Notamacropus eugenii: one gene and its partners. The protein of the gene in region 3 purifies or fractionates together with the protein of the main gene of each other region. This does not show direct contact. Links are inferred from orthologs where the notes say so. Each region holds a gene or a part of one and is shown on either strand. Other genes may lie near its edges.

Region 1 (7,083 bases), on a different chromosome or scaffold from region 3:
GTTTTCTGTTATATTGAATGTTTCTTCTTAGACTGACTGCATCTGCTTTGAATTTCTACTGTACTGAATACCAACTATCTTCTGTTCTTACCATTTCTATTGGTATGCTGTTTTCAAATGTGAGAAACATGTTTCCATAATGAGGAATCTCCATTTTTCCTGTAAAGCCTGTTGTGGCAGTTGCGTTATAAAAGTCATTAAATCTGTTAAAGAAGTAGCCAAATTGTTCTAACTGGTTCGTTTGCCAAGGTTTGTAACCTAATGTGCTCAGTAATGTTCCCTCACAAGACAAAGTAAATATGTTATTGGAATCCTCTGCAATTAGCATGGTTGCTGTGAGGTCATTGGTGTACTGAGTTTGTGGTGGAGTTGTTGTTATTTCTATGACTGTCTTTATGCTAGTGTTGAATATTTCTTGTTTTAGGTCAATTAATTCTATGGTTTTGCATATCCAAGCCATGTGTGCAAAGTCTGCTGGACTCATCCATACTCCCCATGCATTTGTATCTAACAGGAACCACCATGCTAGTATTTGTGCATGTTGGTAGTCAATCCAACCATCATAGGCAGTTTGTCCTGCAACTGTTTTAGGTTTTGAGATCTGTAGTATGTATTCTTGATTTTCTGCCTCTTTTAGGATGATATGTCTAGATGCACTGCATGTTATTTGTAACCCATTCCCCTTCAAATTTCCATTCAGTTGTGTTATTATAATTTCCTGTGGACCTCCCAACCCATCCCCCCATCTCCTCCCATGGTTCTTTTGCCTGGTTCTTCTGTTAACATGGATGAGTCCACTTCTGATGAGTCTTGTGAGTCACTCATATTTTCTTTTGCTGACCAACTAAATACTCTTCTTTTTTTGGCTAAGTTTATGAAAACATGTTTTGGAATTGGTCTTTTTTTACTTACAGTTAGTTGGTTTTTTGCTTTTTGTTTGGTGGTGCCAGTTCTGGTGCTATTGCCTTCTTCAATTTAAATGCCTTGTTTGCAATCTAGCCTCCCCAGTCTTTTGTGTGTTCTGTCTGCTAGATAAATTTAGCATCAGCTTTGCTGAAGTAGAAGGAAGGGTTATTGCCCAATTGTTGCATAAGATGATAGTGCTCATCATGTTCCTTGGTAGCTTGAACACTTGGATTGGTTGGTTGTTCCTGGTCAAGAGTATTCCAGGTTCAACGTATTTGTACCCTGGCAGGGTATATCCTGTAAGTCAGAGTTACATATTAGTTGATGGTTGATGCTCTTGGCAAGTAGCATGATATGAGTTCTTTGACTTACCTTGTCTTGGTCAGTTGATGTTTGGCATTTACATATTGTCCTGTTCCATTTCTGATGTAAGCCACTAGTAATCAAGGTCCCAGATGAAAGGTTGTCTCCCCTGAGAAGGTAATTTCTCCTTGTTCTTGACCTTGATCACTTGATATATTGGTTGATGAGCTGGCATCTGATTTTTCAGTATGTTGTGCAGTGGAATTAGAGGCTGATTTGACTCTTTTCTGCCAATGCCTGTTCAAGAATTCCCAGCCGATGAGCCTAGTTTCTGTGGAGTCTTCTGCTTTGTTGTCTGTTTTTATATCTTCTTCTGACTCCTCTCAGTTTCTGTTCACATAGGCACATCATTCCAGTGATCTATGTATGACCTTATAGTTGGATAGAAGCCCTCATCTTTAAGAGTTTTGAATATATTTGCAATTTCCTTTGAATCAATTATACAAAACCTACCATCCAGAGTTTTGGTTAGCTTTCTGTCAACACATATGTGTTTTATTGGCTCTGAGTGCTCAGGTCTAATTTCACATTCAATTCTGACACAAGTAATATCTTCATTTGATGTCATTATGACTGGATCTAGTTCAATTGATTTACTACCTTTTCCTTTCTGATCTAGTCTTATGCTCTGTCCTGCCATTATGGCTTTAAATTGGTTTACTTCTTGTCCCAGGTTACCAACTTCTTCTATCCAAATTATGTTTTTGTTGTAGTAGTCACTGAAAGGAAAGTTAACATTGGATGGATTGTAGCATCCAACACTATCAACTAGCTCAGTATTTTTTGTGCAATGAGACTCTTTCCTGTGCTTGCTGGACCTTGAAGTAGAATGGTATTTCTTTTGCCTCGCTGCTTATTTAATGCACGTATTATAGCACGTGTGACTTCCTTGGGGTTCTAATTAGTCTGAATATCTTGAATAGTTTTGTGTTTTCTAAGTCTCTGATTGTCTTTCCCTTTTCTATGATTAGGTCATATGCTGTCATGTATTTATTCATTCTTAGTAGTACCATTTCCATAACTGTCAATAATTATTTCACCTCCTGGATTTGCTATTTGTTCTGTGTAACTCTCTGGCTCATCTATCATTTATCGCTCTACGCTTATAACTCTCCTGTCATATAGACTACATATGGCTGATGTCATTGTCTGTTCTTTTTTAGTTTTTTCTATTTTAATTTTTTTGAGCTATGGTTCTGTAACTTCTGACTTGACTGGTTGACTTTCTTTTTCTAATTCTTTTAACATCATATTTCCTGACTTTCATTATTGTTTCAAGATGAGTATTTTATTTTTGATCCTCATGGTCAGACCCATATTTTGGCAATATCAATTTAGCAGTTGTATGGAGAAAGGAATGATGTGGAGGGGAAAGATCCGAAGCAAGGATGTCAATTAAGGAGCTTATTATATTAGTGGAGACTAGAAGTGATGAAGACCTGAACCAGGATAGGGGAGAAAAGGGACGTTATCTTTTATCCCTAACTGCATGATACAGCTGAGTTTTCTTGGCAAAGGTCCTGGAGTGATTTACCATTTCCTTCTTTAGCTTATTTTACAGATGAAGAAACTGAGGAAACAAGGTTAAGTGACTTGCCCAGGGTCACACAGCTAGTAAGTGCCCATGAGGCCAGATTTAAACGAAGGAAGATGATGAATCTTCCTGATTCCAAGACCAATGCTCTTTCCAAATTCAAATCCTAAATCCAACCCAACTGTAATCTTACCCCTCCCCCCAAAAGATCATTGGATTTGAAGCTGGGGGGCCTGCGTGCAGCCCCTGACAGGTCACTTGGGCTCTCTGGACCTTAGTTTACCCTTCCACATAGTGGGGGGCTGAAATGCTGGGAAACGACCTTCTCCGCCTCCTAAAAGTCTCTCCCGACCCTCCTTCATCTTTGGTCCCGCGGTCCTCAGGTTACTCCCAGACATTCTCATCGCTCCACACCCCGATCGTGGCGACGACCTCCAAGGGAGCCTCTCAGCAGACAGACGCGGGTCTGGAGCCCGGGGCGGGCTGACCGCCGCAGGAATAACTGAGGCCCGACTCCCCGCCCCCCGCACGCCTCCCCGCTCCTGCTCGCCGCCCCTCGGCCCGCAGGAACCCTGCCCTCGCTCTGGCCGGGGCCAAGCTCGCCTCCAGATGCCCGCCGTCTGGTCCCCCGGGGCGTGGGGACAGCAGGTGGCACAGTGACCACCGGCCCCACGCTGCCCCCTTTCCTTCCCTCGGCTCTGCCGGCCTCCTTCTCCCGCCTCGTCCCTTCCTCCGCCCAACACCCCGAATTTCCCCTCCTCCACTTTACGCAAAAACCCCAAACCCAGAGGCAGCCATCCCACCCCTGAGCCCGCGACCCCCACGAGAGGCCGAGGGAAGGAGCCGGGCGAGTCCAAGCTGAGTGGGCACGAGGTGGCGGCGCGTGTCTGGGTCTGCGCTGGAGCTGCCCAGGTTCGCGCCCGCGAGGGCTCCATCGCCCCGGGCCAGGCGGGCGCAGCACACGCACGGCCCCGCATCGGCGCCCGGCCCAGCTCCCGCCGCGCGCCCTCCCGGGCCTCTCCGGGCCGCCCCGCTCGACCCTCCCCGCGCCCCCCCGCCCCGCGGCAGTGGTAGCGCCCGAACGCCCCGCGTCACCCATTGTTTACAAATCGAACTGAACCGGCTGAGCTCCAGTTCCCGGAGCGGCGGCGGCGGCGGCGGCGGCTGCAGCGCTCGGGGCCCCGCACGCGGCCGGCTCGGGGCGAGAGCGCGGCGCCTGGTCTTCGGGAGCCGTCCCCGGGGCCGGGCCGGGAGCGGGGAGCGAGGAGCGGCCCCAGCGGCGGCGGCGGAGCTGCGGAGCCCGGGCTGCGGAGCGAGGCCATGCCGTGCCGGAGGGAGGAGGAGGACGAGGACGACGAGGCGGCGGCGGCCGGAGAGGAGGAGGAGGAGGAGGACGCCGCGGGGGAGGGGGAGGAGGAGGAGAGCTTCCTGGTGCTGCGGCAGTCGGTGACCGTCGGGGGCTCGGGGGACGTGGACCGGCTGGTGGCCCAGATCGGAGAGGCGCTGCAGCTGGACGCGGCGCACGGGAGCCGGGCCGCCCCCCGGGGGCCGCCGGTCCTGCAGCTGCTGCTGCCTCCGGGGCCGGCCCCGGCGCCCCCGCAGCCTCCGGGGCCGCCGCAGTGCGCGGGCAGCGGGGCCCGCGCCGCCCTGTGCTGGGCGAGCGAGGGGGGCGCCGCGTCGCAGCCCCCGGCGCGGGCGCCGCCGGGCCCCTGCGTGGCGGGGGGGGCCCCGGGCCGGAGCGGCGCCTGTGGCCCGCACGTCTGCAAGCGGGGCTTCCCGCAGCCGCTGCCGGGCCCGTGCCGACGCGCCTGGCTTCGGGGCGCCGCCGCCTCCCGGCGCCTGCAGCAGCAGCAGCCCCAGCACCGGTCCCGAGGGCCGCCGGGCCTCCGTGCGGGAGACGACGACCCCCACCAGCTTCTGCAGCAGCTTGTCCTCTCGGGGAACCTCATCAAGGAGGCCGTGCGGCGACTGCATTCCCGGCGCCCTAGGCAGCACCCTGGGGCTAGGGCCCCCTTGCCCCCAGCGCCCGGCCCCGCTCCACCGTGGCCCCTGGCTGTTCGGGAGGCTGAGGCAGAAGGGACTCTAGCTCACTGTAGTCCTCGGCGACCAGCCTGCTCCAACCCCGAGGGCCTCCGGAGCCAGCTGGTGCCCAGACGTGCAGATGGCATCTTGGTCCCCAGCAGCTAGTGAGCCCAGCGCGTTCAAGGGCAAGAAGAAGGCAGGGGAAGAACCCGAAAGCCTAAGGCCTGGAGACTTGACATGAATGAACTTGGAGTGGGGAACGGGGGTTCGAAGGCAAAGGGGAAAGATGGGGGAACTTTTTTCGAGGTTCTGGAGTGGGGAAGGGTGATGTAGAGGCTGTGGACTTGGGTGGTTTGTGGGGGGTTGGGCCGAGAATTAGAACCCCTGATCTAATTAGGATGAATAGATCCTGTGTATTGACAGACTGCACTACTGACCTAAGAGCGTCAGTAGAAGATCCTCTTTTTCACTTGTCATGAGTGGTGCTGACTTGCACTGAGCCATCCACAGCACCTTAGCCTGGTTGCCATGTGACCAACAGCACACCTTTTTCAGGATTCCTTAACTGGCCACCTCTACGGGTGCCTTTGGAACAGAGTTGTTGTTTTTTCCTCTGTGCAATATTAACTGGCCTTTTAATAGGAGTTGCACCTTCCATCTTGGCCTCCTTCGCACATGTTCTATCCTACTGAGCTAACCATGAACTCAGAACAGAGAATTATTCCAGTTACCTGCTTTGACTTGACCCAGTTTGTTTTCACTACTGGTAGTTTTCTTTGACTCATGTTTTTTGCGGGGGGAGGGGAGAGGGTGGAGTGGGAATGGAGAGAAGGATTTGAGAGCAGGGAGAAGAAATGCAGTGACTTCACCTGACTGAAAACTTGATAGCATTTTCCAGACTAGATTTAGTTCTGAGTTGTGGGTTCCTACTGCTAGAACACAATCAACTTCATTAAATGTGAGAAGAAGGAACTTGAGTAAAGCTTGGGTGGGGTGGCTTAAAGTGATTACCTGCCAACCTCCTACTTCTACCCTTACATTGCAACAGCCTGATGTTTCTAAGGCTTAACTGAGGAATACTCCCACCAGGTCATGGTAGGGAATGAGAAGGGGAAGGATTTGTTCCTGGGGAAGGAAGAATTCTTGGCTCCACAGTCTGCCTGTCTAGAGGGGCTTTCGAAAATTGGTCCTTGCAGGATTCTGGTTTTCCACACATGGTGCTGTGTCTTTCTGGGCAAGGGAGTAACTGTATATTCAGCACCTTCTCCAAGGGAGTCCTGTGTTTTGAAACTGTTAAGAGTCTCCTGGGGACATACACTTTGTTCTACTGGTTGGGAGGGAAAACTGTGTGCATGTGTGTGTAAACATGTGCACATGTCCACAGGCTTGTGTGTTGACCCTTCTTGGGCCTTTTTTGACCAGGGAGGAAGATGCCTTAGTACCTGTCATAATACTGCAGGTCACTAAGGTTTCCTTTCTTTCCAGGATGTTCTTCCTTTCTTGTTTATACTTTAGCAGGTTCTGAGTAGGGGTCCCGGCATCAAGGGAAAGAGGCCCATTTAAATGTGTTTGTCTCTGAGGCTTTTTGTGGTATCTCCTGCAACATCTCTGAATGAAAGGGGATTTGTTTTCTCCTCTCTCCATCTCATCCCTCACTTTTTTGAGTGAATTCAGTATTCTGAAAATGTTGCCCTCTATGTAGAAGATCGGCAAACATTTTCCTTTACAGTGGCTCCAATCTTTGTTGTTATTTGAAATTTCAATGGCTTGGTCATCATCCAGATGTGGCTGTTGATGTATGTGGATGTGTGCCTGTACATATCCTCACACACATACACTTCGCAGCGGAGTGTCTGAAATTGTGGTGGTCCTGATTTACAGGATTCTAACTTTACTGAAGTATCTATGTTAAATAAAGTTGGTTTTTTTATTTTCTGTCTTCCTTTGTGCCAAAGGCAGCCTAACCAGCAGATTTCCATGGGGATGAAAACACGTCAGCATGGATTATGTGTGACAGCCTGTGTTCCTCAGCATTCTGTAAAAGGATGGGATAAATGCATCCTGTAACTACTTTTAGGGCTAGCTCAATATTAAGATCAAATCCTAGGAACTCCCTACCCCCATTTATTAAAACAACACACAGTAATAAGAGACTGAAATATCATTCAAATCCGCTTCAACCATGCACTTTAAGTACACTGGTAATAGACATCTGACACTTTTGGAGACAGGTTTTGTTCCCCCACCCAAGAGGCAGA
Region 2 (8,102 bases), on a different chromosome or scaffold from region 3:
TGTGCAGGGAGTCAGTCAGGAGTTTGCAGGGGCTCCCAATCCAGAGAAGGATGCTCTTTGCTCAGCTTCAAGAGCTGCTTGCAGCTGTCAACACCTGGGCTGACGGACTTCAGAGCTGGTTGGTGTCCAGGCTTGGTGGAAGCAGTTTTGTACTCACGCCCACCACTGTCAGGCAGTGGGAAAGAGAGGGGGGTGCCTCAGATATAGCTCAGCTTTCTCCCCTCAGTCCCATCCTGTACACCCTTCCAATACTCAGACCCCTTTAGGCTTTGGGAGGGTCTCCAGGTCTAGGGCGTGCTAGGGTGTGCTCTCCAGGCCCTGACTAAAGCCTGGTTTTCCAGGGGGAAGTTTCTGTTTGTTCTTCTTTTCCTTCTTCTTTTTTTCTATTGAGAGAAATCATCAGTTAAAGACAGATTCCCTGGGGCAGGGGCAGACTGCCGAATTCCAAAAGGTTTTCATAAGGGCCATCTGCCGTGGTCAGCAGCTGGCGACAGGCAGAGAGAGGGAGAGGGAGAACGAGAAGGAAGCAGAGAAAAACAAGAGCCCTTCTGTTCCCTCCCACTGCTGCTAGAGAGGATGAGGACTCTTGTGCCTCTCTGGTGAGAGCTGGGAAGAGCAAGGGGGGAGGAGCAGTAGAGGGAGGGGACCACGTGCTGCCCACCCAGCCTTCGGGGAACAGCCTGGGAGCTTTCTGGTGTGCTACTTGCGATTGACTCATTTCTTGCCAATGTGTATTTTGGCGTTTTCCCCCCCATGTTCCCTCCTTGTACTCTTAGCCCCTGTTCTCCTTTCCTGAGCCCTTGCTGTGTCATTTTTCAGCCCAAACAAACTGGTTGAGCTCTCCTTATACAACCTTACACCAAGTGGTAACTGAGAAGACAGTACAAACAGTCCAAGACTCCTGAGTTCCGCATCTTTGGCCGTTTCCCCACTCCTCTCACCCCCATTAATTACCAACTTGGGAGCATCAAAGAAGGAGTAGGGTTTGAGAGAGGGAAATAAAAAGATGGATAAGCAAATGAAAACAACTGAAGGAGCAATACATTAACTTTGCCTCAGACACTACCACGGAGTAAGAAGGGTAGGATGAAGGTAATGGGGATCTGTGAGAAGTGACAAGGACATAGGAATTCCATTTCTAAACTCTGAGGGGACCCCAGATTCAACTGAACAATCATTAACTAGCCCTATGAGCTGGGCACCGTGCTAGGTGCTACATATACAAAGTTTTCAAAAGAAGCCTTGAAAGGGCAAGTGATGTGTTAGAGTGGCAAGAAGTCCCATAGGATCATGTAAAATTGAGAGCTGGAATGTCCCCATAGATACCTCAGACTCAACATTTCCAAAACAAGACCCAATATTTTTCCCTTCTAACCTACCCTTATTTCCAGACTTCCCAATTTCAAAAATGAAAGTCTCTGACTTCAAGAAAGTCACATTCTACCCAGTGATACAACATGTGTACAGATAAGTATGTAGCAATAGAGTGTATCAGTCAATCAACAAGCATTTTTTTAAGAGCCTATGTATGCTAGGGCCAGGCATTACTACTAGGTGCTGTGGGTACAAACAAAAGAGTGAAACATTTCCTATACTCAAGGAATTTACATTTTGCTGGGAGAAACAAGTACACCCAGAAGTATATGTGAAATAAACATAAAGAAAAGAAATACAATATTGTTAAATACAAAGTAGCTTGGGAGGGGAGGATGCTGGCACTTGAGATCAGGAAATGCTAAAATGTAGCAGATAGAACTTGAACTTATCTTGAAGGAAGAGAGCAATTCCAAGGCAGAGCTGAAATGGAGGTACATTTTTATGAGGAGTAGCCAGTACAAAGGCAGAGATATGAGAGATGGAATGTATTATACAAGGAAGAAAGAGAAAGTGAGTTTAGCTGCATCAGTGTGGGAAGGGGAGAAAAATGTCTAAGGAGGCTAGAAAGACAAGTTGAGACAAGGTTGCAAAAGGATTTTAAAAGCTAAATAGTGAAGTTTATATTAGATCCTGGAATCAGGAGGCAACCATTAGAATTTATTTAATAGGGAATAACATGGTGACATTTGTGCTGAAAGAAAATCACTTTGGCAGTTGTGTGGAGGTTGGACTGGAGAAAGACTTCAGGCAGGCAGATCAATCAGGAGGCCTTTGCAATAACCTAGGCAGAGGTAAAGAGGGCCTAAACCAAGCTGGGCACAATAGAAATAGAAGGGATCCAAAGTGAGAAATGATATGGAGGTAGACACAGCAAGACTTGGCAGCTGAGTAGATGTGGAGGATAAAAGAGAGTTAGGAATTGAGGACAATTCAAAGGTTTCTGGGAGTCTGGAAGAATGCTGGTATCTTCTATAGAAATAGGAAAGTCTAGTTTTGGGAAGAAAGATATTTAGTTTCTGTTTTGCATATGTTAAATTTAAAATATTTCTGGGACATCAAGTTTGAAATTCCTAGTTGGTCCTTAGTGATGCTCAGAGGAAAGGCTAGAGCTGGATATACACATCTGAGTCATCTGCATAAAGATGATAGTTAAACTTCATGGGAATTAAGATGGGCACTGAGAGAGTATGTACATAGAAAAGAGAAGAGGACCCAGGACAAAACTATGTTCACCCCAGCAGTTAGGGAGCATGATAAGAATGATGAACCAGAGAAGGAATCTGAGAAGTGGTCAGAGAGGTAGGAGGAAAACTGGGAGAGATCATTGTGATGAAATCTAGAAAAGAGAGGGTATAGTATCAAGTTAACAGTGTTTAATGCTTCAGGGAGGTGAAGGAGGTTGAGGACTGAGAATCATATTTGGCAGTTGAAATACTTGATAAATATGGACAGAACAGTTTCATTTGATTGAAGAAGTTGGAAGCCGGATTGTGAAGGGTTAAAAAGTGAGTGAGAAAAAGGGAGGCAACCAGTAGAAAAGTTATTTCCAGGAGTTTGGCTAAAAAGGAAAGGAGAGTTTTAGGATGATAGCTAGAGGGAAAGATAGGGTCTAGTGAAGGGTTTTGGATTTTTTTTAAGCCTAACATCAAGAGCCTCTGCTGAGTCTGAGAAATTGAGGCACTATGTCCACTACCTTCTCCACTAAGGTGTCCCCTCTCTCTGCTCTGGACACATGCCCATGGTCCAGATCAGGTTCAGTCTTGAGGGAATGTGATTACCAAGAAGAAAGGATAGGATATTTTTTCTTATAATCTTTAGCTCAGTTAGCTCCTACCTTGGCAATCTATGAACAAATTATTTAAAACTTGGGTTTTGGCTCATTTATATATTCCCCAAGGGGGGAAATAGGAAGTTATTCCATGTACAATAAAAATCAAGTATGGGACATGTATTTCTACATAGAAAAGAAATGCTAAAAGATACAAAAGACTCTCAGCAGACATGGACAATAACTAAGGAATTGGTAACATATCTTCTATTTCATTCTGCCAGGAAGTTAAGCCATAGACATCAGAATATGAAGCAGTTTGCAGAACCATTAGAACTGTCATTGCAGATCAGTCATTCCACATTTTACTTCAGCTTCACATTCTCTTTCAAAGCCCATCTTTTTTGTTAGGTTAGGAGTTTGAACTCCTTCCCCTGATGATGGTGCCCTCTCTGAGGCAAGAACTTCTCCTGTCAATAAGGAAGGTCTTCATGGTGAACCCAGGACCTCTGAATCTCTCAAACTCACAAACTCTGAGGAAATCACTTAACCTCACTCAACTTCACTTTGTTGTGGTTCAGTCTTGTCCAACTGTCCTCGACCCCATTTTGGTGCTTTCTTGCAAAGATTCTTCTCCAGCTCATTTGACAAAGGAGGAACTAAGGCAAACAGGGTTAAGTGACTTGCCCAGGGTCACACAGTTAGCATCTGAGTCCAGTTTTGAACTCATGATGGTGAGTCTTCCTTATTCCAGTGCCTCTCAGCTGCCTTCAACTTTACTCATCAGAGTCAATGTGAAGATCAAACAAGAAAACTAAAATAAATGAATGAAGTGCTTTGCAAACCTTAAGGCACTGTAAAAATTCTAGCTAGGGATTTATCTTGGATGCCTGATCACCTAACAAGGAAGAGAAATTCAGAAGAGAATAGATGGTGGGGGCGTGGCTCAGATGCAATCTCGTCTAGTTGAGACCCCAACTCTAGTCTCTCTGACTTCCTTCAAGGCTCAGCTAAAGCCTCACCTTCCACCAGAAGTCCTTCCTAATCCCCCTGAATGCAGGTGCTCATGCATCTCTCCTACATCGGATATACAGGCTATGTTTCCTGCATGTACAGTATCTTGTTTGGACGTAACTCTTTACTTATTGTCCGGATTATGAGAGCTGCAGGAGCTGTCGTTTGCCTATCTTGTATCCCCAGAGCTTGACAGAGCGCCTGGCACAGTGCTAGTTGACTGACTGACTGACTGACTGAGAGGTGCCTCCCCCCTTAGCAGAAAACCTCAGGTTTTTGTTTGTTTTGTTTTTTAATGCCACCTGGAGGGTAGAAGGAAGAAATCAAACCGGAAGCCGTCTCTTTAACCAATGCGCCAATTCCACGTCTTGGAAATTCGAGTGATCAAAATGTTCTAGGATTTTTGGAGAAGGGTGGTCATTTCCTTCTCTTGGAATAAGGACTCCCCCAGAAAACCCAAGGAAGGTGTTTGCTATGTAGCACACAAGCCGACTGTCTCTGATGCTTTGTGAACCAGAACTGTGTGAACAGGCTTGAACTCAGTAGAAAAGGACAGAAGTCAAAGTTTGGGTTTTTGTGGCATTTGCAAACATCCACTAAGTATTCTCTTCGGAAATGAATCCCCTTTATCTTCTCTCACGACTTCAACGTTTCCTCAGGCCCAACGGACTACATTTCCCAGCAAACCTTGCGCCAACCCGGGATGCATTCCTGCCTCCGGAAACCGTTCTGTGGGCGGGACCAAGGAAGAGGCGGCTCAGGACGTGGCGAGAAACGAGTGTGTCTCCACCCTCTGAAGGGCGGGGTGACGTCGGGCGACGAGAGCGGACCGATGACGTTCCCCCTCTTCGGGCATGGGGCGGGGTCGGTACGCGGTGCGTGCGAGCCCCGCCCCCTTTCCTCCCCAAGGCTCGCGCCTCTGGCCGGCTGCCTGTGGCCTGCGGGCTCGGGGCGGGGCGCGTCGTGGGCAGCTGGAGGGGCTGCTCTGCTGGGCTGCGGAGGAGGTTGTGCTGAGCCGTTCCCGCTGGAGCTCGGTCATGGAGCGCTTCTTGCAAGGCTGCCGGGCCGCCGTGCAGGTAACGGAGTCGGGGCCCTTTCCGTGAGGGTGGGACGGGGCGGGGCGGGGAGGTGAAGTGAGGTGAGGAAGGGGACCCCGACCTCCGCCCGTGAGATCCTTCCCGCCCCGGCGGGTGCCAGGCTGGCTGTCACAGGCGCCCCTCCCCCCGGGGCCGAGCCGGGGCTTCTCGGGGTTCCCCGCCCCGCCCCCTCCCCCCGGGTAACTGACGGCTCACCCAGGCTGGCTTCTGCCGGCTCTCCTGAGGGCCATGGGGCGGAGGCCCGGGCGCCCGGGCTCTCCCCTTGGCACAGTTTGGTCACGTTCTAGAGAACAGGCCGTTGTGGTCTCAGTCTCTGGGCTAAACATATACTTTGTCACCCGCGCGGCTCTGCACGCACACCACATGGTGTCCTGCCCCCGTGTTTTCTCTCCTTTAGGCACCCACACTTAATCATAATTCCCTGCCGTCTGAATGTGTAAACATGAATAATCCTGGACGCGACTATTGTGAATGTTAGCTTGTCTTCGGTCTTCTCTGAATACGCTATGCGTGACCCATTCCTGGTCAGTGGTGAAGTATGCCTAGGCTGATGGTCATAGCTATAATACTAACAAGTGGCATCAGATTGACCTGTAAGCTTTGCAGAAGCCTTTATCTCATGAGATCCCACACCAGCTCTGTCAGTTTAGTGCTACAGGTGTTACTATCCCCATTTGACAGTGAGACCCAGAGAGGTGTGGTGTGGTGTGACTCGAATAAATGAAAACGAATGACAAAACATATTAAGTGCTTACAATGTGCTAAATATTGGGAATATAAAGATTGAGACACTCCCTGCTCTTAAGGAACTGAAAAGAACACATATGCAGGTTTTCCCGACTTCAAATCCACTATATCCACTACATGGTGTTATCTCTTTAAGAAGTTTGCTAGGAAAAAAGATTCTCCTAGGTCATATTAGCATATTTCATTTCTAAGTCAGATTATACCTAAAACAACTTAGGGGTTAGTTGACTCTCGTTTTCCTTTAAAAAAAATCTCCTGATTTTATAATTTTCTTGTATTCAACGAAATTTAAACAGATATTAAATGTGTACTCTATTTTTGGATAATAAATGATAGTGTCTTACAATATCCCTGATAGGTGAGAATCAGCTAGTGTTCACTTTTGTAGATTCAGCCATTTATTCCTTTTTAAAACAAATTTTTATTGATATCTTTTTGCTTATTACAACATTAGAATTTCTCCTAGTATTATACCTCTCTCCACTGTTTCCCAGAGAGTCGTTCTATATAAAAATTATTTTTATAAAGGAAAAAAAAGAAAGAGGAAAAAGAGAAAAAAACCAGCAAAACCAAATAATATATTGGGAAAAGTCAGAAAATATATACAATATTCTATACCTGTGGACCTACTGCTTCTGCAAGGGAGTGGTGTGAGGGGTTATCTTCTCATATCTCTCCTTCAGTGCCATCCCTGTTCTTTATAATTTTGCAAAATTCACTTTTGATCATTTTGTGGTTCTTTACATTTACGTTGTTGTAGTCCTTTCAGTATTGTTTTCTTGGCTCTGCTTATTATACTCTGTATCAGATCCCATAAAGCTTTCCAGTCTTCTCTATATTCATCATATTCTTTATTTCTTACAGCATAATATAGTAATACTCCATTACATTCTTGTACTTTGGTTTGTTTAGCTAGTCCCCAGTCAATGGGCATCTACTTTGTTTCCTATTCTTTTCAGCCATTTATTCTTTGACTTCGGGTAATTGAAGTACTTGCCCTAGGAGTAGGGGTAAATTTTAAAACCAATTATATTTTAAATTTTAAAATAAATTTAAATGTTTTATTATGTTTAATATCATGTATTTAATATATTAATATCTAACCATGTGTCATTTTATTATATGAATAATTAATATTTAAAATTTAGAACCAGTTATACGAAGCTTTTCCTTATAAACAAAATTTGGGATATCTCTAAGGATCTTCTGCTTCTAAAATTCTGTAATTCATGTTATAAGTAAGAAAAAATGTAACTACTTAACAGTTAAAATATTGCTCCTAATGAGGTTTAATAATCAGTCCTAGAGAAATAGTTTTCAAACTTTTATGGACTGAAGTAGGGAAGAAAGAAAATGGACATGAAATTTCTGTGCAGGTTAGGGTCTTCTAGACTTTAAGTTGTGTACAGAATACTGTAGCCTCCAAGAGCAATCCAACTTTGTGACTTTTTATTTTGTTTAGGTGAAGTAAAGGGATAATTCAGGTGTCCAAAGGAGACCATCCAGGATGATGAAGGGCCTCAAGTCCATGACATGAGGATCTGTTGGAAGAATTAGGCTCATTTAGCCTAAAGAAAAGAAGATGGAGGAGGCGTGTGTGTGTGTGTGTGTGTGTGTATGTATAAGACGGAGTAGTTATCTTCAAATATTTGAGGGCTGCTATGTGGAGAAGGTATTAGACTTGTTTAACCTGGCCACCTTCCCCAAATAGCAGAGTGGAAGTTGCAAAGGGGCCAATTTAAAACAGCTCTAGCTATTCATATGGAATGGGCTGACCTATCGTCCCCTTCCTTAGAGAGCTGTTCAAGTAGAGGTTTTTTTATATGTGCTTTGGACTAGATGGTCAACTCTCAAATTGGTTGACTAAGGAGTGATAAATACATTCAGTTCAACAAACATTTGCTAAATATTATTAGGTTGTATTATAAAGTATTTAGCATCATTCGTTCTATTCAACACAGAGAAGGATGGGGAAATAGTAATATAGGAGGAATGAATGAAAGGAATAGTGTCAGAAGGATATATTTTAGACAAGAAACAGTGATGAAGACAAAGGTTCATGTTGAACTTTTGGGGAAATAAGCAGAAGATTTTACAGT
Region 3 (7,602 bases):
CCCACCTATGGAAGATCACATCTTTTATAACTGAATCTACTTTTACCACACTGCCAGGGACCTGGATTTGAGCTTGTTTCTATTAATTTCTTACCTCTGTACCTGTGGTCAAATCTCTCCCACTCTCTGGGCCTCAGTTTCCTCATCTGTAAATATGGGCATATTTGCATGATTGGGGCAGCTAGGTGGTGCAGTGGATAGAGCACCAGTGCAAGAGTCAGGAGGACCTGAGTTCAAATCTCACTTCAGACACTTGACACTCACTAGCTGTGTGATCTTGGGCAAGTCACAACCCCAATTGCCTCATCCTGGGTCATCTCCAGTCATCCTGATGAATATCTGGTCACTGGATTCAGATATCTGGAGGAGAAATGAAGCTGGTGACCTGCTCAGCCCTCCCTCACTCAAAACAAAGTGAAGTGCAAGTCAGGTCATCATTTTTCTGATGGCATGGTCTTCTTCGGCAACGAAGAACAAACACACATGTCATCTAAACCAGTGACGAGTCAAGAGAGTGGTTTGCAACTGGGGGGTACCCCCAATTTTCTAGCTGTGTATGCTGTGGTGAGTCATCTCTGCCTTCTCAACTGGCTTTTGACTTTTGAGACTTGGAGCAGCTCTTGGCACATAGTTGGTGCTTAAAAGAAACTTAATAAACTGGCAGCCCCCTTTTAACTACATTCTGTGACACACTTATTAGGTAGGAGAGGATGGGAAAAATAGGTACAAATGGGGAAATCGTGTCAGAGAAGGGAAGGATGGCTAACACCAAAGTAGGAAGAGCATGAGAGCTGGCTGATAAGGAAACTGAGGCATGAGAGGGCGGACTGGGCCACTGCAGTCTCCTGGGTGATGTAAGTCACTCCCTGGGGTGGGGGCCGCTGGGGGTGGAGGCGCCAGGCTATTTCAGGAAGTTGTCACCAGGCAACGCAGATGCTGCTGGGAGGGTGGTGGTAGTGGGGGGGGGGGGGGCCGGAGGAAAGGATGTCGTCACCTTCAGGAGGGGGCTGGGACCCTGCAGGGTGGAGACTTTGGTTTCCACAAATTCTCAGTCCCCACTGAAGAGTGGACTTGCTCATTGGTCCTGATCCCAGCCCCAAGGGATCCCCTCAGCCTGTCCCTGAGACGGTGGGAGATGGAGGGTGAGGTGGCCCCTTTACAATTTTAGCCTTCTCCTCTGACCCTAGAGAAACCGGCTCCCTTCATCCTTTCATTGAGTTCTCCACCCTCTTCAATGAGTACAATATCCTGGTAATTAAGCCTTTCCACCCTCTTCATTGGTCCCCAAGCCCATACTCATCCTGCCCCCAGCCCCCATCTCCTATCCATCTCCAAGGAACGGACCCTTCATCTTCCCTGGTCCCTATCTCCACTTAGCACTCCTCTCCTCACTGCCTGCACCTCCAGCCCTTATGGAACCTCTTCTGGCTTCCCCATCTCCTCTCCTAGAACCAAGTATCCTTTTGAACGGAGTCGCTCTTCCGAGCCCTTTAAATACACCTTTGTCCTGTCTCCCTTGTCCGAGCACCCCCTCCTCACTGAGCCCCTAACCCTGGTCCAAGCACCCCCTCCTCACTGAGCCCTTAACCCTGGTCCAAGCACCCCGTCCGCACTGCGCACCCCCTCCTCACTGAGCCCCTAACCCTGGTCCAAGCACCCCGTCCGCACTGAGCACCCCCTCCTCACTGAGCCCCTAACCCTGGTCCAAGCACCCCGTCCTCACTGAGCCCCTAACCCTGGTCCAAGCACCCCGTCCTCACTGAGCACCCCCTCCTCACTGAGCCCCTAACCCTGGTCCAAGCACCCCGTCCGCACTGAGCACCCCCTCCTCACTGAGCCCCTAACCCTGGTCCAAGCACCCCGTCCGCACTGAGCACCCCCTCCTCACTGAGCCCCTAACCCTGGTCCAAGCACCCCGTCCGCACTGAGCACCCCCTCCTCACTGAACCCCTAACCCTGGTCCAAGCACCCCCTCCTCACTGAGCACCCCCTCCTCACTGAGCCCCTAACCCTCGTCCAAGCACCCCGTCCGCACTGAGCACCCCCTCCTCACTGAGCCCCTAACCCTGGTCCAAGCACCCCGTCCGCACTGAGCACCCCCTCCTCACTGAGCCCCTAACCCTGGTCCAAGCACCCCGTCCGCACTGAGCACCCCCTCCTCACTGAACCCCTAACCCTGGTCCAAGCACCCCCTCCTCACTGAGCACCCCCTCCTCACTGAGCCCCTAACCCTCGTCCAAGCACCCCGTCCGCACTGAGCACCCCCTCCTCACTGAGCCCCTAACCCTGGTCCAAGCACCCCGTCCGCACTGAGCCCCTAACCCTGGTCCAAGCACCCCGTCCGCACTGAGCACCCCGTCCGCACTGAGCACCCCCTCCTCACTGAGCCCCTAACCCTGGTCCAAGCACCCCGTCCGCACTGAGCACCTCCTCCTCACTGAGCACCCCCTCCTCACTGAACCCCTAACCCTGGTCCAAGCACCCCCTCCTCACTGAGCACCCCCTCCTCACTGAGCCCCTAACCCTCGTCCAAGCACCCCGTCCGCACTGAGCACCCCCTCCTCACTGAGCCCCTAACCCTGGTCCAAGCACCCCGTCCGCACTGAGCCCCTAACCCTGGTCCAAGCACCCCGTCCGCACTGAGCCCCTAACCCTGGTCCAAGCACCCCGTCCGCACTGAGCCCCTAACCCTGGTCCAAGCACCCCGTCCTCACTGAGCACCCCCTCCTCACTGAGCCCCTAACCCTGGTCCAAGCACCCCGTCCGCACTGAGCACCCCGTCCGCACTGAGCACCCCCTCCTCACTGAGCCCCTAACCCTGGTCCAAGCACCCCGTCCGCACTGAGCACCCCCTCCTCACTGAACCCCTAACCCTGGTCCAAGCACCCCGTCCGCACTGAGCACCCTCTCCTCACTGAGCCCCTAACCCTGGTCCAAGCACCCCGTCCGCACTGAGCACCCCCTCCTCACTGAGCCCCTTTCCCCTTTAAAGGATCTGCCCCCGCCCCTGCCCTGCTAAGAACTGTAGCAGAATGCTCACGCAGCGGCCCCGCCCCCTCCCGGACAACCTTGGGTAACGGCAACTCACAGTGGGCCTCTCCCCGCTCCCGTCCCGCCCCTAGAGGGGCGGAGCCTTCAGAAGGAGCCGCGTGGCCCACTTCGGAACATGCGCATACTTTTTTCTGGTTGACGTCCGACAGGGGGCAGTGCAGCTTGCCCAGGCTGGGAACTACAACTCCCAGCAGCACAAATTTCAGCTTTGGACTTTGATTTTTTACGTCCGCTACCAACAGTCTCGCTGGAAAATTACAGATTTCTTCAATGCCCCTGCTATCCATTAGGAACGCCACCTCCATAAGCGTGGAGACCTACAAATCCCAGAACATCTGGCTCCGAACTGAGCTCTCTGGATGCTTACTCGACCCTAGCCTACTGTCCGCTCAGGGAGAACTACAAATACCAGAAACCTGTAGGACGAGGTGGGCGTCGGGTCAGGCTGGCACCCACGTGAGGACTCCAATAGCCAGAATTCACTGGGGTTAGGAAGTGCTGAAAGTTTCTAGCTTTTCCGGAGACTCAGGTAAAGGTATACTACAGAACTTCATTTCCTCTCAGCATCGAGAGTGAGTGTTGGTGTACGTGCATCCGTATGCATGAGAGGAAGAATGAGAAGAGTCAACTTCCCAGTATTCCATGGGTGCGCGGGGAGGAATGAAAACGAAGCACGGGGGAGGAAAACGGGGACTGCATTTCCCAGCATTCCTTAGGGGTGGGGGAGGAGCTGAAGACTAGAGCGTTCCTTTTCTCGGCGGTCGTTGCGCGAGGGCGTTGGTTCCCAGCTCTTATCGGTTAAAGGAAGACTCCACTTCCCAGAATGCTTTGTTATTCGCTGACCCCTCCCCCCTACGAGGGTGGGTCCATGACGTATACTCGAGCGCCTTCATCATACAACCTGCAATGACTCCACTGCTTCCCCTTTCTTTGCAACTAATTACCAAAGAAGAGAGGAGGCGGGGAGCGATGTAGATGTCCTTTCTCTTCGCGGCCGGCATCTCCTCACTTTTTTTCTCAGGGTCTTCTTTGGGCCCGTAATTTGACAGGAGGAGGGGGTGGAGGTGATCTCGAACTCCATCTCCCACGATCCTCTGTGGCTTTAGGTGCCTAAATGTTGCAATGAATTATATTTCCGCGACTTCGCCGTCGCGGTCCGTGACGTAAGACAAGACAGTTGGGAGTTTCTGGGAGGGGACTACTTGTCCCGGCATTCCTTGGGGCTCCCAAAGCTCTTCAGGGAGCCGAACTCTTTAGGCGTCTTCAGCGCCCTCGGCTCACCCAGCACATCGAGAGGGCGCATGTACGCTGTTTCCCAGGATTTCCTAGGCTTCTCTGTTGGGCCAGCTCCCCGAGAGCGCGTGGAGACTGCATCTCCCGACATCCTTCAGGGCCCGATCTTCGGAGCCCATGACGTTGCTTCTGTGGTGGAGCGAGGACTCCATTTCCCAGTGCGCTCCGCGGGGTCAGGCCGGCGGTGTGAGCGTGCGCGAACTGCATTTCCCGGCGAGCCCCGCGGCGCGGAGCCGGAGCCGGAGCCGCAGCCGCAGCCGGAGCCGGAGCCGGAGGCCGGAGCGGCCGCGGCCTGGAGCGGAGCCGGACCCCAGCCCAGCCCGGCCCGGCCGGGGCCCCGGGGAGCAGCGCGGCGGCGTCTGAGGCGCCATGAGCGGCGGAGCCCCGGGGGGCGGCGGCGGCGGCGGCAGTAGTGACAGCATCTCGGGCCGGGCCCGGACCAGCTCGTTCGGAGAGCCAGGGCCGGCGGGACCCGGGCCGGGGCCGGGCGGAAGCGGATCAGGCCCCGGACCCACCGTCGGACCCACCGTCTCCAAGGCCGGCGGTCCGGACCCGGGCCGGGGTCCGGCCCCGCCAGCCTCGGGTGCGGGCCCCGGCCCGGGTCCTGCCCCCGGCCCCATTCCTCCCGGTCCCGGCCCCGGCGGCTCGGGTACCGGCGGCGGTGCGGGGGCCGTGAACGTGGCCTTGCCTTCGGGCCCCGGAGGCGGCGGAGGCGGCGGAGGTTCGAGCTTCCCACCACCCGCCGTGAAGCTGGGCCGTGAGTAGGGGCGGGGGCTTCCCCTGCCCTCCTTCTTCCCCACAGCCCCCTCCCGCGCTCGGGGCCACCCCGTACTTGGCCCGGGGTCCCGGGGTCGCGACCCCCCGGCACACCCTGCCCCTCTGCAGGGCTTGGGGAGGGGCGGGCGGGCAGCCACCGGCCAAGGAACCCCAGCCCTGGGGAGGCACCGGGCCGGGGTGCCCCACTTTCCATAACGGAGAGTGGTCCTGGGGGTCACGGAGTCCTCTTCTTCCCCCTAATCCCCCGCAGGTACCACTAAGGGGGCTGAAGCTGTAGAGGTCAAAAGTCACCAGCCAGAAGTCTTGTCTCAGCCTTTCCCCCCCAACAGTAAGGTGGCCCTAGGGACTGGAGGTTAAAGGTCAGGGGCCCTTCCTCTTTCCCGGACTGAGGAGGGATGCTGAGATCAGCTCCTCATCTCCCCCTTACACAGACCCCAGGAAGGGCAGAGGGACTGGACCCAGAGGCTGAATGTGACCTCCCCTACCCCTTCTCCAGCCCCCCAGCAGGGAGTCCCCACATTTCTCTTCTCCAGGTGACACTGGGAAAGTGACCACGGTGATGGCGACCTTGGGGCAGGGGCCCGAGCGCTCCCAGGAAGTGGCCTACACGGACATCAAGGTGATCGGCAACGGCTCCTTCGGTGTCGTCTATCAGGCCCGCCTGGCCGAGACTGGGGAGCTGGTGGCCATCAAGAAGGTGCTGCAGGACAAGAGATTCAAGGTACTGAGTGCTGCAGTGCGCATGTCTGGACCCACACCCTAGAGATCAGGGAGGGCACCGGGCAGATCTGAGAGCCCCAACACAGTCAGGCCAAGGACTGGTGTGCTGTGGGCTTGGACTTAGTGACAACAAAGGGAGGTGGGCTAGGGCTAGGCTGGGATTCTCTTGGGCACCCCGCTCAAATCCTACTCCCCACTGAGAGAGACCAGAATGCAGAGGAAAGTGTTTGGAGGCTGGAGCCTGGTGAGGACAGGGGACTGTGTCTAGAGGAGCAGGAGATCCAGGCTCCAGGAGCACCCAGGCTGGGGGCGGGGCTCTGGGCTGCCAAGGGGTGGGGTTGGGAGGGCAGGACCTGCAGAGGTGGTGAACTGAAGGTCGAGGTCCTCCAAAGGAGGGCTGGCTTCTGCCTAACATGTTCTAGGGGATCCAAGAGGTCAGGCCTGAGGAGAAGGAGGGAAAGAGGGACAAGAGACAGGGGTGGGGGTTGGTGAGAGGAGACGAGGGCAGGATCAGGGTTCTAGAGCAGCTAGGGAGCCCAGGAAAGAGATGGAGAACTGGAGAGGAAGGCGGGACTCCTCTGACCCTTGACTGGTACAAGAGAGAGCTGAGACCTGGGAGGCGTTGAATCAGGGTTTGGAAAGGGGACCAGAAGAGAAGGGAGAGCAGGTTTTTGGATTGGCTCAGAGGGGCCGACCCCAGGGCAGCTCTGGTGTCAGGGGTCATGAGTGGCCAGATCCAAGCAGGGATGAGGCTGGGATCTGGGCCCCAGGGGGAGAGGCAGTCCAGAGGCAAGACTCAATTCTGGGGCCCAGGAAGGGCATGGTACCACCCCAGAAAGGAAAGGGAGAAGGGGTGGGGACGCGGTTGGCCTGAGCTCCCGTTGGGAGAACAAGGGCTTTGGTGCTTGAGAAGGAGGAGACTGGAAAGAGTGGGGAATTGGGAAGAGACAGTTTGACCTAGTGGAAAGAGAGGTGAATCTGACCTGAGAAGACCCAGATTCAAGTGCTGTTTGGGCCTCTGTGTGTGTGTGGCTTTGGATGAGTCACTTGTCTTTGGGCCTCAGGGAGGGAGCTGGGCTGGCTGCCTTTAGCTCTGGGTCACAGGCCTATAACCTCTAAGATTCTTTCCCTTGCTAAACCCTGTAATTTCTGGTATTTGGGGAGGGGGGAAGTGGGCATCAGAGGAGAGGCTTCATGGAATATGGGGGTCCTGTGGTGGGCCTGAGAGGGAAGGAGGGAGATGGGAGCTGAGCCAGGTATAAGTTGGGGCCCAGAAGGGAGCAGGAGCTCTGGTGTCTCAGGGACAGGGGAGGAAAGGTCTGAGGCAAGGTCCCAGGGAGGAAATGCAGGTTGGGCAAGAGTGGGCCAAGACCACAAAAGAAGACAAGTCTGGGAGGGGGAAGACAGGGGCTCCACTGCCCCCTGCCCCCAGGCTCAGCTCTGCCTTCTTTCCCCAGAATCGGGAGCTGCAGATCATGAGGAAGCTGGACCATTGCAACATTGTACGGCTTCGCTATTTCTTTTACTCCAGTGGAGAAAAGGTGAGTGAGGCCTAGAGGCCAAGCAGCTCCTCCCTTCTGGCACCTCTGGCTCTGGGGAGCGCCCGGGCCCCCTCCTCACCCTCTTTCTCTTTCCTCATGGCAGAAGGACGAGCTTTACCTGAATCTGGTGCTGGATTTTGTGCCTGAGACCGTTTACCGGGTGGCACGGCACTTCACCAAGGCCAAGCTGACCATCCCATCCATCTATGTCAAGGTGGGA

Evidence for each region. The genes of interacting proteins can lie anywhere in the genome.
Region 1: the proteins of GSK3A (region 3) and FRAT1 purify together in Homo sapiens (affinity purification with mass spectrometry; 4 studies listed by BioGRID and IntAct, with this or other methods). This does not show direct contact. The link is inferred for Notamacropus eugenii from reciprocal best matches to the Homo sapiens genes GSK3A and FRAT1.
Region 2: the proteins of GSK3A (region 3) and PRUNE1 purify together in Homo sapiens (affinity purification with mass spectrometry; 3 studies listed by BioGRID and IntAct, with this or other methods). This does not show direct contact. The link is inferred for Notamacropus eugenii from reciprocal best matches to the Homo sapiens genes GSK3A and PRUNE1.

Annotation. Positions count from the first base shown.
Region 1 is NC_092872.1:214,099,685-214,106,767, forward strand, and holds FRAT1 (proto-oncogene FRAT1), read left to right. Parts: upstream 1-3,979; 5' UTR 3,980-4,123; coding exon 4,124-4,990; 3' UTR 4,991-6,755; downstream 6,756-7,083. UniProt on the Homo sapiens protein: Positively regulates the Wnt signaling pathway by stabilizing beta-catenin through the association with GSK-3. May play a role in tumor progression and collaborate with PIM1 and MYC in lymphomagenesis.
Region 2 is NC_092873.1:304,856,989-304,865,090, forward strand, and holds the start of PRUNE1 (exopolyphosphatase PRUNE1), read left to right. Parts: upstream 1-4,998; 5' UTR 4,999-5,013; coding exon 5,014-5,235; intron 5,236-5,676; exon of another isoform or gene 5,677-5,762; coding exon of another isoform or gene 5,763-5,780; intron 5,781-8,102. UniProt on the Homo sapiens protein: Phosphodiesterase (PDE) that has higher activity toward cAMP than cGMP, as substrate. Plays a role in cell proliferation, migration and differentiation, and acts as a negative regulator of NME1. Plays a role in the regulation of neurogenesis.
Region 3 is NC_092876.1:26,014,928-26,022,529, reverse strand, and holds the start of GSK3A (glycogen synthase kinase-3 alpha), read left to right. Parts: upstream 1-4,588; 5' UTR 4,589-4,713; coding exon 4,714-5,101; intron 5,102-5,371; coding exon 5,372-5,449; intron 5,450-5,654; coding exon 5,655-5,842; intron 5,843-7,298; coding exon 7,299-7,382; intron 7,383-7,485; coding exon 7,486-7,596; intron 7,597-7,602. UniProt on the Homo sapiens protein: Constitutively active protein kinase that acts as a negative regulator in the hormonal control of glucose homeostasis, Wnt signaling and regulation of transcription factors and microtubules, by phosphorylating and inactivating glycogen synthase (GYS1 or GYS2), CTNNB1/beta-catenin, APC and AXIN1.